Nothobranchius furzeri: one gene and its partners. The protein of the gene in region 2 purifies or fractionates together with the protein of the main gene of each other region. This does not show direct contact. Links are inferred from orthologs where the notes say so. Each region holds a gene or a part of one and is shown on either strand. Other genes may lie near its edges. The genes, in order: bcl7bb, smarcd1 and bicra.

Region 1 (3,753 bases), on a different chromosome or scaffold from region 2:
CACGAAATACTTCATAAAAAATATGATGGAAACATGCCAAAAAAACTGCAACACATGAAGACAAAAATCAAACTTGTGGCAGAATCTTGAAACATGTACAGAGTGTGTGTGGAAATGCACAATAGTCTGAAATAACCTCTTCACTTTGTTTAAAAATATTTCAACCAAACAAGACTTCAAAGACTCTCAAAGTGAGAAATAAAGCAACATTCTTGGGATACTTTCCCCATTAGCTCAAATGTATGGAGTACTATTTGTGTAGATATGAATAAACAATCACTATGACAGCCTTGTTATTCTTCCAACCACCCAGATCCCCTACCGTGCATTTTGACAAAAATAGTTATAAATAAGCTATCTTAGGGAGGTGGTTTCCCCTGTGCAGATCCGCTTTAAAGAAGGTGCTCCTGATTCATCCAACTCTTCCTGTGGAACAAATAAAGATCAGGTCATTTCTGTCCTTATATATTTTTATTAAATTCAGAACATGCAACAGACACACAACATGTAACGTATCTAATCAATCATTTAGTTTAATCTTGTTTAAATAGTTTACATAGTCAAAGTTAACCTGTGTGTCTGAGGCACCCCGTCTGACAGCTCCTGATGTGAGAGGGTCCTCCTTGATGAGAGTTGGGGGCTCGTCTGCAGCTTCCCGTCCTGAATGAGCTGGCTCTGAGTGATGTGTAGATGTATATGTCAATAAATGACAAATACAAATGTGCTCCTTCAAAAAAAATCTTCTAACTGCAGATGCTTAGCTGAACTCAGAATCATTGCCGTACCGTCCACGCTCTCCTGGCCGAGCATCGGGGGCTGAGAGTCTTCAGCTCGGAGGCTGTAGGGGTGGGGGGGGCTGACCTGCTGGGAGCTGGAGTTGCTGCTGCTGCTGTTATCCATTTTTGGCTGATAAACATCTGACAGGAAGCTCTGGTTGCTGTTTTCATCTAAGATGAGAAAAAAATGTAGCTCACAAGTGACCATCCATTACAGCCAGGTGTTACTAATTTCTTATTTATTAGTTTCTTCTTTATAAATAACCTACCAGTAAAATCCAGTAAAGTATTATTGTTCTCTAGGACCACATCTTTTAAACCCCTGCCCTCGCCACCAGTCGATTTGGTGCGAAATATCTGATGGAACAGTGAGAGAGGGTTTCACGAGGAGGATACAAACATAAACAAGATGTACTGGTTTCAGCAAGCATGACGAGGGCCCACACCTGCTTCGTCTCCGTTACTGGCACCCACTTGAATATGCGTAAAGATGTGTCTCCTACCGTCACCCATTTCTTCTCCCTGGAAATAAAATAGATCATTGTTATACAGGAGTTTAGTAGACGTGCAGCAAGTTTAGACACCAACTGAGCCATGAACTCCCTAAATGAAGAAAAACATTCGTTCAGATTTCACCTCACCTAGAATGTGTTTTTCTTTCTTGATATGAAAGAAATTAGCATTATGATTTCAGGTAACTCCTAAACTGGACAATAACTACTATTTGCCATTACTTGACCAGTGCCTGGATATTTACTTTTTATCCATCCTTTCAGTTTCCTAATTTAATTAGAGAACAGGTGATCTTTCTAACTTTTATATTAAGTGACAGTTTAGCTAACCATTATCAAGCTTAAAAGTGGTTTAAACTTGAAAACATATTTGAATACTAATATTAGGAGGATTTTTTTGGAGTGGTTAGTTGTTGATTATTGATTTTTTTCTTATGTTGTAAAGACAAGGATGGCACCAACCATGTTCAACATAAATCATATGCTAAGTAGCAATTATCTCCATTTAATTCTGATCCAAATCCCACTTTATTTGCGCTATGGAGCCATCAAAGACTCAGACAATGTTTTAAACAATTTCTAATTAATTTGTACATCTTGTATTGTGGAACATCCTGGCTATTTCAAGATAAGTATATGTGTGAATTATTATCACATAAAATTTATAAAAATGTAATGGTAAATTTCCCATTGAAACTATGTTGATGTTCAAGTGAACAGCTGACAGACCTCCCTCCTCATCATGCTGTGTGTAATTTTGGATGTGCATGCACATGTTTAGATGACACCTGAAAGCATTATAGTATAACACGTGCCTTGTAAACTGTTAAAATGAATGCGTTTCATTGTAATCCATAATGATGGACATGTTGAAACTAGAATTTTGATTTAGCTGAAGCACATATGGGAGTCGGGACTGGAGGATGGTCGGCACCCTCTGCCTGTTTAATCCGCACCCTGATGTGTCTGTAGCCAGTGTAGCCCACAGCTAGTAATGGTTCTCCCAGCCCGCAGCAGTAATGGCAGTGGGTCAAATATTTTTAAAAAGCTCGTCGGTCATTTTTCACATTACGAAACGTCCACATCACAGTACGACGCATGTCAGTTAACTGGAGCCATATTGACAGCTCCAAACGAGGGGGTAGGGGAAAAAAAATCTTAGCCCCGCCTCTTCGTTCCAACAGAGGCTGTGATTGGTCAGCAGCGTTGCCAATCACCTAACTTTTCCGACTGAAGTTTGTTGAGCGACGCAGCAAAATGGCAAGCAACGGTCCACTAAAACAATCCCCTCTAAATTTTCTCCCACATAAAGCTTACGTACCATTTACGGACTTTCTCGATGGCTGCCAGGACCTTTTTAATGTCGTCTTTAGCCCGACTTCGGGTCTCTGCGCGGCCTGAACGTCCCGACATCTTGATGCTGTTATGGTTCATCTACAGATCTGAAAACTTCAAGCCCCAGTCCTCTTCAACAATGGAAGTCTCGCGAGAATTTGTTGTCTGAGCTCATCCCCTTCACTGTGGACACGTGTGGTGTCGATTTATAAGTGATTCATTAATTTAACACATGTACTTATTTTTTAACTGATACTTTTAAATATTTAATTTTTGTTTATACGTGTCTAGCAGAAAAATTTGAACTAAATTGCCAACAATGTTAAATAATTTTTTGTTCTTTTCTTACAATTTTAGTAAAAAAATGCTTTTTTAGATAAAAGAAGAAGAAGAAAGTGTTAATTCTATATATGAATATAAGCTGTGGAAGCAAGAACAAGTAAGTCTTATCATACATATATGAATTTTAGTTATTACTTGAATTATTATTATTATTATTATTATTGCTACTTTATTTTCTGCCCGGCTTTTATTCAGCACAGTTTAAAACAGCTCAAATTAAATGTTTGCATGATGTACAGGTGCTGGCCAGTAAATTAGAATATCATCAAAAGGTTGAAAATATTTCAGTAATTCCATTCAAAACGTGAAACTTGTACATTATATTCATGCAATGCACACAGACCAATGTATTTCCGATGTTTATTACGTTTAATTTTGATATTTATAGGTGACAACCAATGAAAACATCAAATCTGGTATCTCAGAAAATTAGAATATTCTAAAGGCCAATGAAAAAATGTTTGTTTCTCTAATGTTGGCCAACTGAAAAGAATGAACATGAAAAGAATGTGCATGTATAGCACTCAATACTTAGTCGGGGCTCCTTTTGCCTCAATAACTGCAGTAATGCGGCGTGGCATGGACTCGATCAGTCTGTGGCACTGCTCAGGTGTTATGAGAGCCCAGGTTGCTCTGTCGTCTTCAGCTCCTCTGCATTGTTGGGTCTAGCGTATTGCATCCTCCGCTTCACAATACCCCATAGATTTTCTATGGGGTTAAGGTCAGGCGAGTTTGCTGGCCAATCAAGGACAGGGATACCATGGTCCTTGAACTGTGTGCAGGTGCCA
Region 2 (3,753 bases):
CAATTAGTTGTTATTAAACACATTTAGAAGCCTGTAGGATAAGCCTGTTCGTGCACCAAGGTATAAAGCCCAAAATGAAAATTATAATTACAGTGTAGATGCTTTTAGATGTCCAAAAACACATGCCCCCCCCCCCCCCCCCCCCCGGGCAGCCAGCAATCTGTTTCTGATCCAACACAAAGAGATTATGCAAACAAATGGTGCCCCATGTTTTGTGCTGCCGATTCTCCATACTGAACAGAGAAAGTGTAACATCATCAAAAGTTGGGGGAAAAAATACATAAACTGTTGTGAATTTTTGCAGGACCGTAGCTCAAAACATTTAAAACTTTGCTCATCTTAGGATCTCTGCATCTGCATACAATCAACAAGCATTCAAAGAGGATCATGAGTCAACTGAAAAACCTCATGGAGGCACCGCAGATTCAGATCACCTCTCAGACACGGAAGCAGTTGGCTCACTAATTTATGTTCCCCTGCTGTGATGAAAGGAGATGTGGTGTATAATTTGTGTGATGTTCCTAAACAGAGGGAGATGGTGCGACTTGCAGTTCATGAACTTCTGATAAAAATTAAAAAAGAACTAATTACTGCAGTCTGTAATGTTTTGATATTTTTCACATTTCAGCATGTATTTTCTCGTTGAATAAAAGTTACGCATCTGCTGATGCTCATGTGTTGCATGTCAAAGTGATTAATTTGTAAATTAATGCAGCTTATTTCAGTTTTATGAGACAAATGGGACAAAATCACTCAAAATACCATTCTTATCTGTGCTTTTCTTCTACTTTAAAGTAAAATCTCTTTTCTTACGGTATTTTCAGTAAAAGTTCCAGAATATGTTGTTTTGGTTTAAAAATATTCTGCAGACTTTGTAGATGTCATAGATGTTACAGATATGTGAGCGAAGTTAGAATGGGTTTTTATTAAATTTTTGGTCTTGCAGGAAGCAATTGAAATGATGCTAAATTTGTATAGTGGACACTTTTTTCAGAGCTCCAGAAACAACATTTGGATCAATTGAACACACCAATTAAAATACAAAAACAATAAAAATAAGTTTTTAGTATGCTTAAAAATGCAAAATTAAGCATGTAGTTGTTTTCTGCACCACTTTGGGCTACAACGCTTCTAATTTATTTATTTATCAGGCTTCATGGATGGTTGAAAGACTATCATCAGCATCTCAATAGAAAAGCTAATTTATTTGTTACCAGATGTGAGCAGCAGATAGCGCTGTTTCATCTCCAACTCTCCCCATTGAGCTTGTTCTCGCGTTAGCTTCGTGCTTCCACCGGCGGCGACACTCAGAGAGGAGATGGCGGCCAGAGGGGGGTTTCAATCTGCTCCGACGGGTGGTGGCGGTGGAGCAATGGGCCCTGGACCGCCAGCAACCGGTGCAGGACCAGGTATGGGCCCCGGTACTCCCTCTGGAAGAATGGGGCCTTCGTCAGCCGCGCAGAACCACATGTACCGCTCTCCGATGCCCGGGCCTGGGTATCCGGTGAGTTCTCGTTCCATGTTTGCTGCTGACGCGTTAGCTTGTTCGCTAGAACAAAGCCCCTCATCGCTCCTTTGTTGCTACTGGCCAACGTTGTTTCTGTTTCTCCATGAGGACCAAAGCTGTGACTAACTCTCAGGCTGGTTGAATAGAGTCAGTCTATCCCAAAACTTATTTTAGCCACTTCCCTTGAGTTACCATCGGTGTGTTTGAATTTGCTAACCCATCCCGCCCGCAAACGTTAAAGTTTTAGTAAGCAGCTAGTTAGCTCATCATGCTAACGTTGCTAATTTGCTCTGTAGTTTGAATAAAAGCACTCCGAGAGGGCTCGAGTAGTGTAGGAAAATTCACAAAAAGTGAGTTTGTTACGTTTGAAAGTCCCAATTCGATTAGGTTTGGGATTTTCTATTTATTAGATGTCTTAAAATCAAAAGTCTGCTTTTGAATGAAAAGTTTACACTGATAAGAAACCATCAGTTTTCCAGACGGAAAAAACTAAATAAGAATAAAGCCTCAAATTCCGTTTTAATGCGTGAAGTTTGTGCTTTTGATCTAATAATATACTGGAAATAATTTGTCACTGATGGATTTTGTACTTTAAAAATATTCTAGTTAAACTTTCAAGCCTCACCTTTATTCTAAATTCTGATTTTCAGATCAGACTAGTGCTACTTAATCATGAGTTAAAGAACAAAAGTTTTCCAGATGTACTATAGTTACAATAAAACTAAAATAATAGTTTAGTCCCGCGATCAAGAAAGTCAAAATATTTCCACCAAAGGACACAAGCCAGCTGAGCAAAGTTTTTCTTTAAATGACAAAGGTAATGTTTTGTGTGTTTGTGCAGACTGATGTTTCAATTTAACTTTTAATATGCAGATGTCTGTTGAAACTACTATCTGATAGGTTTAACTCATGTAATTGGAGTATCAGTTAAAGGTTTTGATCATTCATTTAATCAACTAGCTCAACCTCCTGAGCTACTGTTGCAACAACGAATTGGGGAAAAAAATTGATTAAGAAATGCATTAGCAATGCAGTTCATCATCACTTTGTTGTGTTGTGCAGCTTTTTTAATTTATTTTTTTCATGTAGTGCAACCTTTTTTTTAACAGTCAACGTGTGTGCAGCTTATGGGGGGGGGGGGGGAATTTATGTAACTCTTCTGTTTAGATGTAATAAAAGCTTGAAATTATGAATGATTGGGGGCGTGTCCTTTTGATGGACAAGTAGCAGAGGGCTAGGGGTGGTCGGCGCTAGGGGCTTCCCTCCTGCTTGCTCCAGGGAAAGCTTCAGTCTGCCTTACCTTAACCCTCCCACTGTCCTAATGGGTGTGACCCCATGAGGAAAGTTGACCATTGAGCAGGGTTGATGGTTTATCCCTTGGGTCCATGTGGCATGGGCGACTAGTGACCACCACCTCACCACTGCCACGTGGACTTCAAGGGATAAACAATCAATTCTGCTCAACGGTCAACTTTCCTCGTGGGGTCACCCATTAAGACAGTGGGAGGGTTAAAAGTGTTAGCTTGTCCTGCCAGGGTTGGTCGATTTGTCATGATGACATCAACAAACAAAATAGTCATCAATAAACTTAATAGTCTACGTTGTTTATTCTACGCATTGTTTTAATCTTACCTGCTTCAGCAGTACCACTGCTGCTTGCGGTCTTTCTGTTCGAGGCACGTGCGCAGTAGCGGCCATTCGGGTGAGCCATTGCATCACCGGAAAAACAAGACATGGCGACCTGCAATGTAGCACAAAGTTTGAAAGCATTTTACAAAAATAAGCATGTACAGTGCAAAGTCTGCAAAGTAGGACTTCTTTCACAAGAAGATAATGCTGATGAACGAACGCCTTAAAAGGAAGCACGTCGTGGCAGAGAACAAAGGGGGACAGTCGCCTCTTTAAGCTAATTGCCCCTCGTTAGCTGCTAACATCATCAGGGACAGTGTTTCCCCTAGGAATTTTTCCAGCTGTGGTGGAGGTGGTGTTGGCGGGGGGGGGGGGGGACTATGACACGTCTCACCTTTATGTTAATATTGTTTTATTTGATGCACTCCACTTTGAACTGCACCAGTCCAGCGACTGCTGCAGTGTAATAACTAGTATTAAAGGTGAATACACCAATATTTGCACAAGAATAATTTCTGTTTTAAACTCTCAGTGACACACTTTGCAGGGTGGATTTGGCATTTAATTTTTCTTGGCGTCTGGAAAAACATCTTCTTTTTCCCCCTTTATTTGACTTT
Region 3 (3,753 bases), on a different chromosome or scaffold from region 2:
CTGAATCTAAAGGGGGGCGAAAAAATACTAAAGTCAACAAAGTTGCTAAGTATTGCTAACAGCAGTGTCACATCAGCAGCCAGCGCTTTCTCTGTCACGTGACAATGGGAGGGCGGTCACAGCCCTGCTGCCTTCAGGTGCTGCTCGTACGGTCCAGAGTTGGTCCATTACAAATCTATAATGTTTCATGTTATAAACTGATTGTAGACCATGCTGCAACACAATATATCAATCGATAATTTAATTAAGAAACATGTTCGTTGTTAATATTTGCTGTAGAAACAAAGGAATCGCTTCTAATCTGTCTCAGGATCATTACAGTGCGTTCATGACAATCTATATAAAACAGTTCCCTTGTGTTATCTGTTTTCAACAGCCAATTATTTTTCTATAAGCAATCAGACATTAAAGGTGACAATATTTAAGCATAAATGTTGTAATAAAACGTAATAGCGTAAATATCTTCAAAAGTGCAGTTTTAAAGGAATATTGATTAGAATTATAATAAGAAAATGCTTTCCTTTAGTCAATGCCAGTTCCATTATAAAGAGACATTTTTAATCAAAATGGGTTAGCATCATAATGAAACTGTTTGTCAGCTGAAATCTTTACAATTTTAACATAAATAATAGATAACAACTATGTTAAGTGGTTTTCCAGGCTTTGCATTATAGCACAGTGAATTAAATGTGTGTAAAATATTTTGTTGAAAAATACATGACAAACATATTTTAGGGCTATGGGTTGTGGTAGGTAACTACATGAGTCAAACATTCAAATACCTTTTTAAAATTTACAAAAATAATCACGTATTTTAGAACTATACAAAAATTATTTAAAATATGGAAAAGGAATGTTTTCTTGTAGATTATGTTACAGTATTTTGCTTAGGCTTTTTGTAGATTAGTTTGTTCTTTTCTTAGCCAAAATCATATAATCTGATTGCAGTTCAAGACTGGGTTGCATTTATCTAACAAATCTGCTGGCATTTGTTAACATGACTGCTTTTATATTTTTTTACATTTGTGATCCAGTTTCTTTTATGATTTCATTTTAAGCAATTTCTCCCCACAGGCTTCCTCTGCTGTTCCTGCCTTTCTATTGATGTTTTTTGAGTTTTAAAAATGAAAACAAGTTAACATGAAGAATATGTCAAATTTAAGAATGCACTAATTAACACAACAAAAATGTTCAAAAACCGTTTAATGTTCCGAATGGGTATTTGTGTGTAAAGAAAGTCTCGATAAACAACATGGATTTCAATCAGGCAGAGCGGAAGTCTGCCGTTTCCTGCCAGTAGTTGGGTCCTGTTGAGCAGCCCGTGCGAGGCTGTCCTGGAGACCCCGCGCTGCCTGCACCTCTAACGTCTCGGGTGAGTTTGTTACAATGTAACAATTTCTCCATTAATCCCAATATCCGCTACAAAGCTGCGATATCTGCTAACTGTTCAGCAGACACGAACCGCACTGCTACCGCAAAAGAAGCGACACACTGCCGCATCACACCGTAAACAGGCTCGTTTTCCAACGAATTCCCAAGCATACCCCCTCTCATCCAAGAGTATTCCAACATTTACTGATATTCTGCTTGCAATTAGCAATAGCTCGCCACGTAGTTGCGTTTACGACTATAAGCAGACAGCATTTCTTCGTTTTAGCTCAACCGGACTGCCGCTGTGCGTAATTTGTGTTAAAATTGTGTCACTCTGGTTTGTTTTGAATGTCAAAGGCTCGAGCTAGCTATACGTCTGAATATTGTTGATAGCGGGGGTAGCTTGCTAGGCTAACGAAAGTCAACCCAAAAGCACCCAAATTGCTGAAATTACGGATGAAACTGTTTTAATTTCAAACATTTGAGTCGTAGGTCAGCTGTGTTGCTGTCAGATACTGTACGTTGGGGGAATTTGTTGAGGTATGCATGCAAAGCTCATTAAAAACATCAGCTAGCATCTAGCATTCCGTTTGCAGCGTCTCCATTCATATCCTGCGCACTGGTTTTCTGTAACCGAGCTGCGATCGGCGGACAGCTGGGACTCCTGCATCATGTCCACAATTTATTTGCATAGAAACTGTGTTGGTTTGGTTTTCGTGTTGTTGGACGAGCTGTGCACGGTTAAAAGTCAGCGACAGCTTACGCTCAAAATCTTTCCAGGCGGTGCGAAAACCGCGCGTTTTCAGTTTGTTGTCTGCTGTTTGATCGTGTTCAGAAATTTTAAGTTTTGTTACGTGTCTCGATGAGTTCAGGGCCGCACCAAGGTTGTTTGATACCGAGCGTACATGGGGAAAAATCTCGCTTTGTAATTGATATTGATAATCAAACGCTAGGTTAGACAGTTTTCGTTTTTTAGGAACTCAGAATTACTTTCTATGTTGATTCATAGTTTTTAATATAAACTAAATGCCTGATAGCATTGAGTGGTCTTTAAGATTTTTTTCCAAAGAAAAAATTTGTGTATAAAGTATATGAATACATTTTTTCATTGTTTTGAACGTTTCTTGCTGTCAAACATTTATTCATAAGTCAGAAAGAGTTTGTTGCTGGCCTATGGAGACTTCTCATAGCTTTTTACCATCAGGGAGGAAATAAAAAAACCTATGTCTAAAGGGAAAGACTCACTTCCACTAAAGAACTCTTTCTTCAAAAGAAGACACAGATGATTACTGAATAATTACCCGGATGTTTTTGGGGTGTGTGCCATGCCATCTCTTACTGCAAAAAACTGCCACTTAACAATATTTGTAATTATTCGCTTGGATTGTTTAAATGCCTGTATCGGTGGCTCAAGACTTTTTGAAAGTCAGTCTTTATCTTGCATCTACATGTCTTTAATGGCTCGAGTTTTGCTGGAGTAAATATGAAAATGTCGTTTAAAATTTAGTCAGCATGTGGTTTGAGAAAGTCAAGAATAATTATGAAGTTAAACCTAAGACAAACCCCATGTAATTCTTAATAACCATGTTATACAAAATGTAACTGAGTATTTTGGTTGTGATTGTTGAACAAGTCATGACCGAGCTTGAAGGTGTTTTTCATCTCAACAGTTGTCATGGATGATGAAGACGGCAGGTGCCTTCTAGATGTAATTTGGTAAGTATGTTCTGACAGCGTGAAAGACCTGATTCTAGTATTGTAGGAAATTTTATATCAGATTGTTCGGTTATGTGTCATTGTGTCACACATCTGTTGTTTTCTCCATCAGCGACCCAGAAGCTCTTAATGACTTTCTTCATGGATCTGAGACCCATGTAAGTATGAGAAGGGCTAACAAATGGCCGCATTTAGCAAAGCTTCACGATACAAGTTCTCCACTGATGAGTGACTTGTTCAGGTTTTATCTTTGTTGCTTTTGCATCTCTAATAAAATCAGTTTCGGCTCACAAGTTGATACACCCTGTAACCTGCATCCCTCACTGCTCTCATTAAACTTTTTATAACTCCTCTGCCTAATGGTTGCATTTGGGTTGCCAGAACAATAATTCCTATTACTAACGTTTCCCAACTCTTGAGTTATTCCTGTCATTTTGTTCCTCTGTAGCTTATCTCTTTACTGATGCTTTACGTTCTGGGTTCTCTGAACCATGTTCTGCCCTTGCCTTGCCCTCCCTCTGTTTTGATGGTCTGTATGTTTGTCCTGGTGACTTTTTTGCCTGCTGGTTTGGGTGTCTTTGGTTTCTGTCTGTCTTACCCTTGGTGGGTGTGTCTGTAGTTGGACACTGACGACCTTTTGGATGGTTCGAGTGACCCCTCCAGCTC

The links.
Region 1: the proteins of smarcd1 (region 2) and bcl7bb purify together in Homo sapiens (affinity purification with mass spectrometry; 4 studies listed by BioGRID and IntAct, counting the BioPlex papers as one, with this or other methods). This does not show direct contact. The link is inferred for Nothobranchius furzeri from reciprocal best matches to the Homo sapiens genes SMARCD1 and BCL7B.
Region 3: the proteins of smarcd1 (region 2) and bicra purify together in Homo sapiens (affinity purification with mass spectrometry; 5 studies listed by BioGRID and IntAct, counting the BioPlex papers as one, with this or other methods). This does not show direct contact. The link is inferred for Nothobranchius furzeri from reciprocal best matches to the Homo sapiens genes SMARCD1 and BICRA.

The regions. Positions count from the first base shown.
Region 1 is NC_091753.1:33,350,586-33,354,338, forward strand, and holds the start of bcl7bb (B-cell CLL/lymphoma 7 protein family member B-B), read right to left. Parts: upstream 2,774-3,753; 5' UTR 2,723-2,773; coding exon 2,610-2,722; intron 1,299-2,609; coding exon 1,223-1,298; intron 1,134-1,222; coding exon 1,046-1,133; intron 948-1,045; coding exon 786-947; intron 676-785; coding exon 572-675; intron 427-571; coding exon 355-426; 3' UTR 1-354. UniProt on the Homo sapiens protein: Positive regulator of apoptosis. Plays a role in the Wnt signaling pathway, negatively regulating the expression of Wnt signaling components CTNNB1 and HMGA1.
Region 2 is NC_091743.1:58,867,901-58,871,653, reverse strand, and holds the start of smarcd1 (SWI/SNF-related matrix-associated actin-dependent regulator of chromatin subfamily D member 1), read left to right. Parts: upstream 1-1,275; 5' UTR 1,276-1,318; coding exon 1,319-1,504; intron 1,505-3,753. UniProt on the Homo sapiens protein: Involved in transcriptional activation and repression of select genes by chromatin remodeling (alteration of DNA-nucleosome topology).
Region 3 is NC_091753.1:46,788,248-46,792,000, reverse strand, and holds the start of bicra (BRD4-interacting chromatin-remodeling complex-associated protein), read left to right. Parts: upstream 1-1,304; 5' UTR 1,305-1,372; intron 1,373-3,041; 5' UTR 3,042-3,046; coding exon 3,047-3,087; intron 3,088-3,199; coding exon 3,200-3,245; intron 3,246-3,706; coding exon 3,707-3,753. UniProt on the Homo sapiens protein: Component of SWI/SNF chromatin remodeling subcomplex GBAF that carries out key enzymatic activities, changing chromatin structure by altering DNA-histone contacts within a nucleosome in an ATP-dependent manner.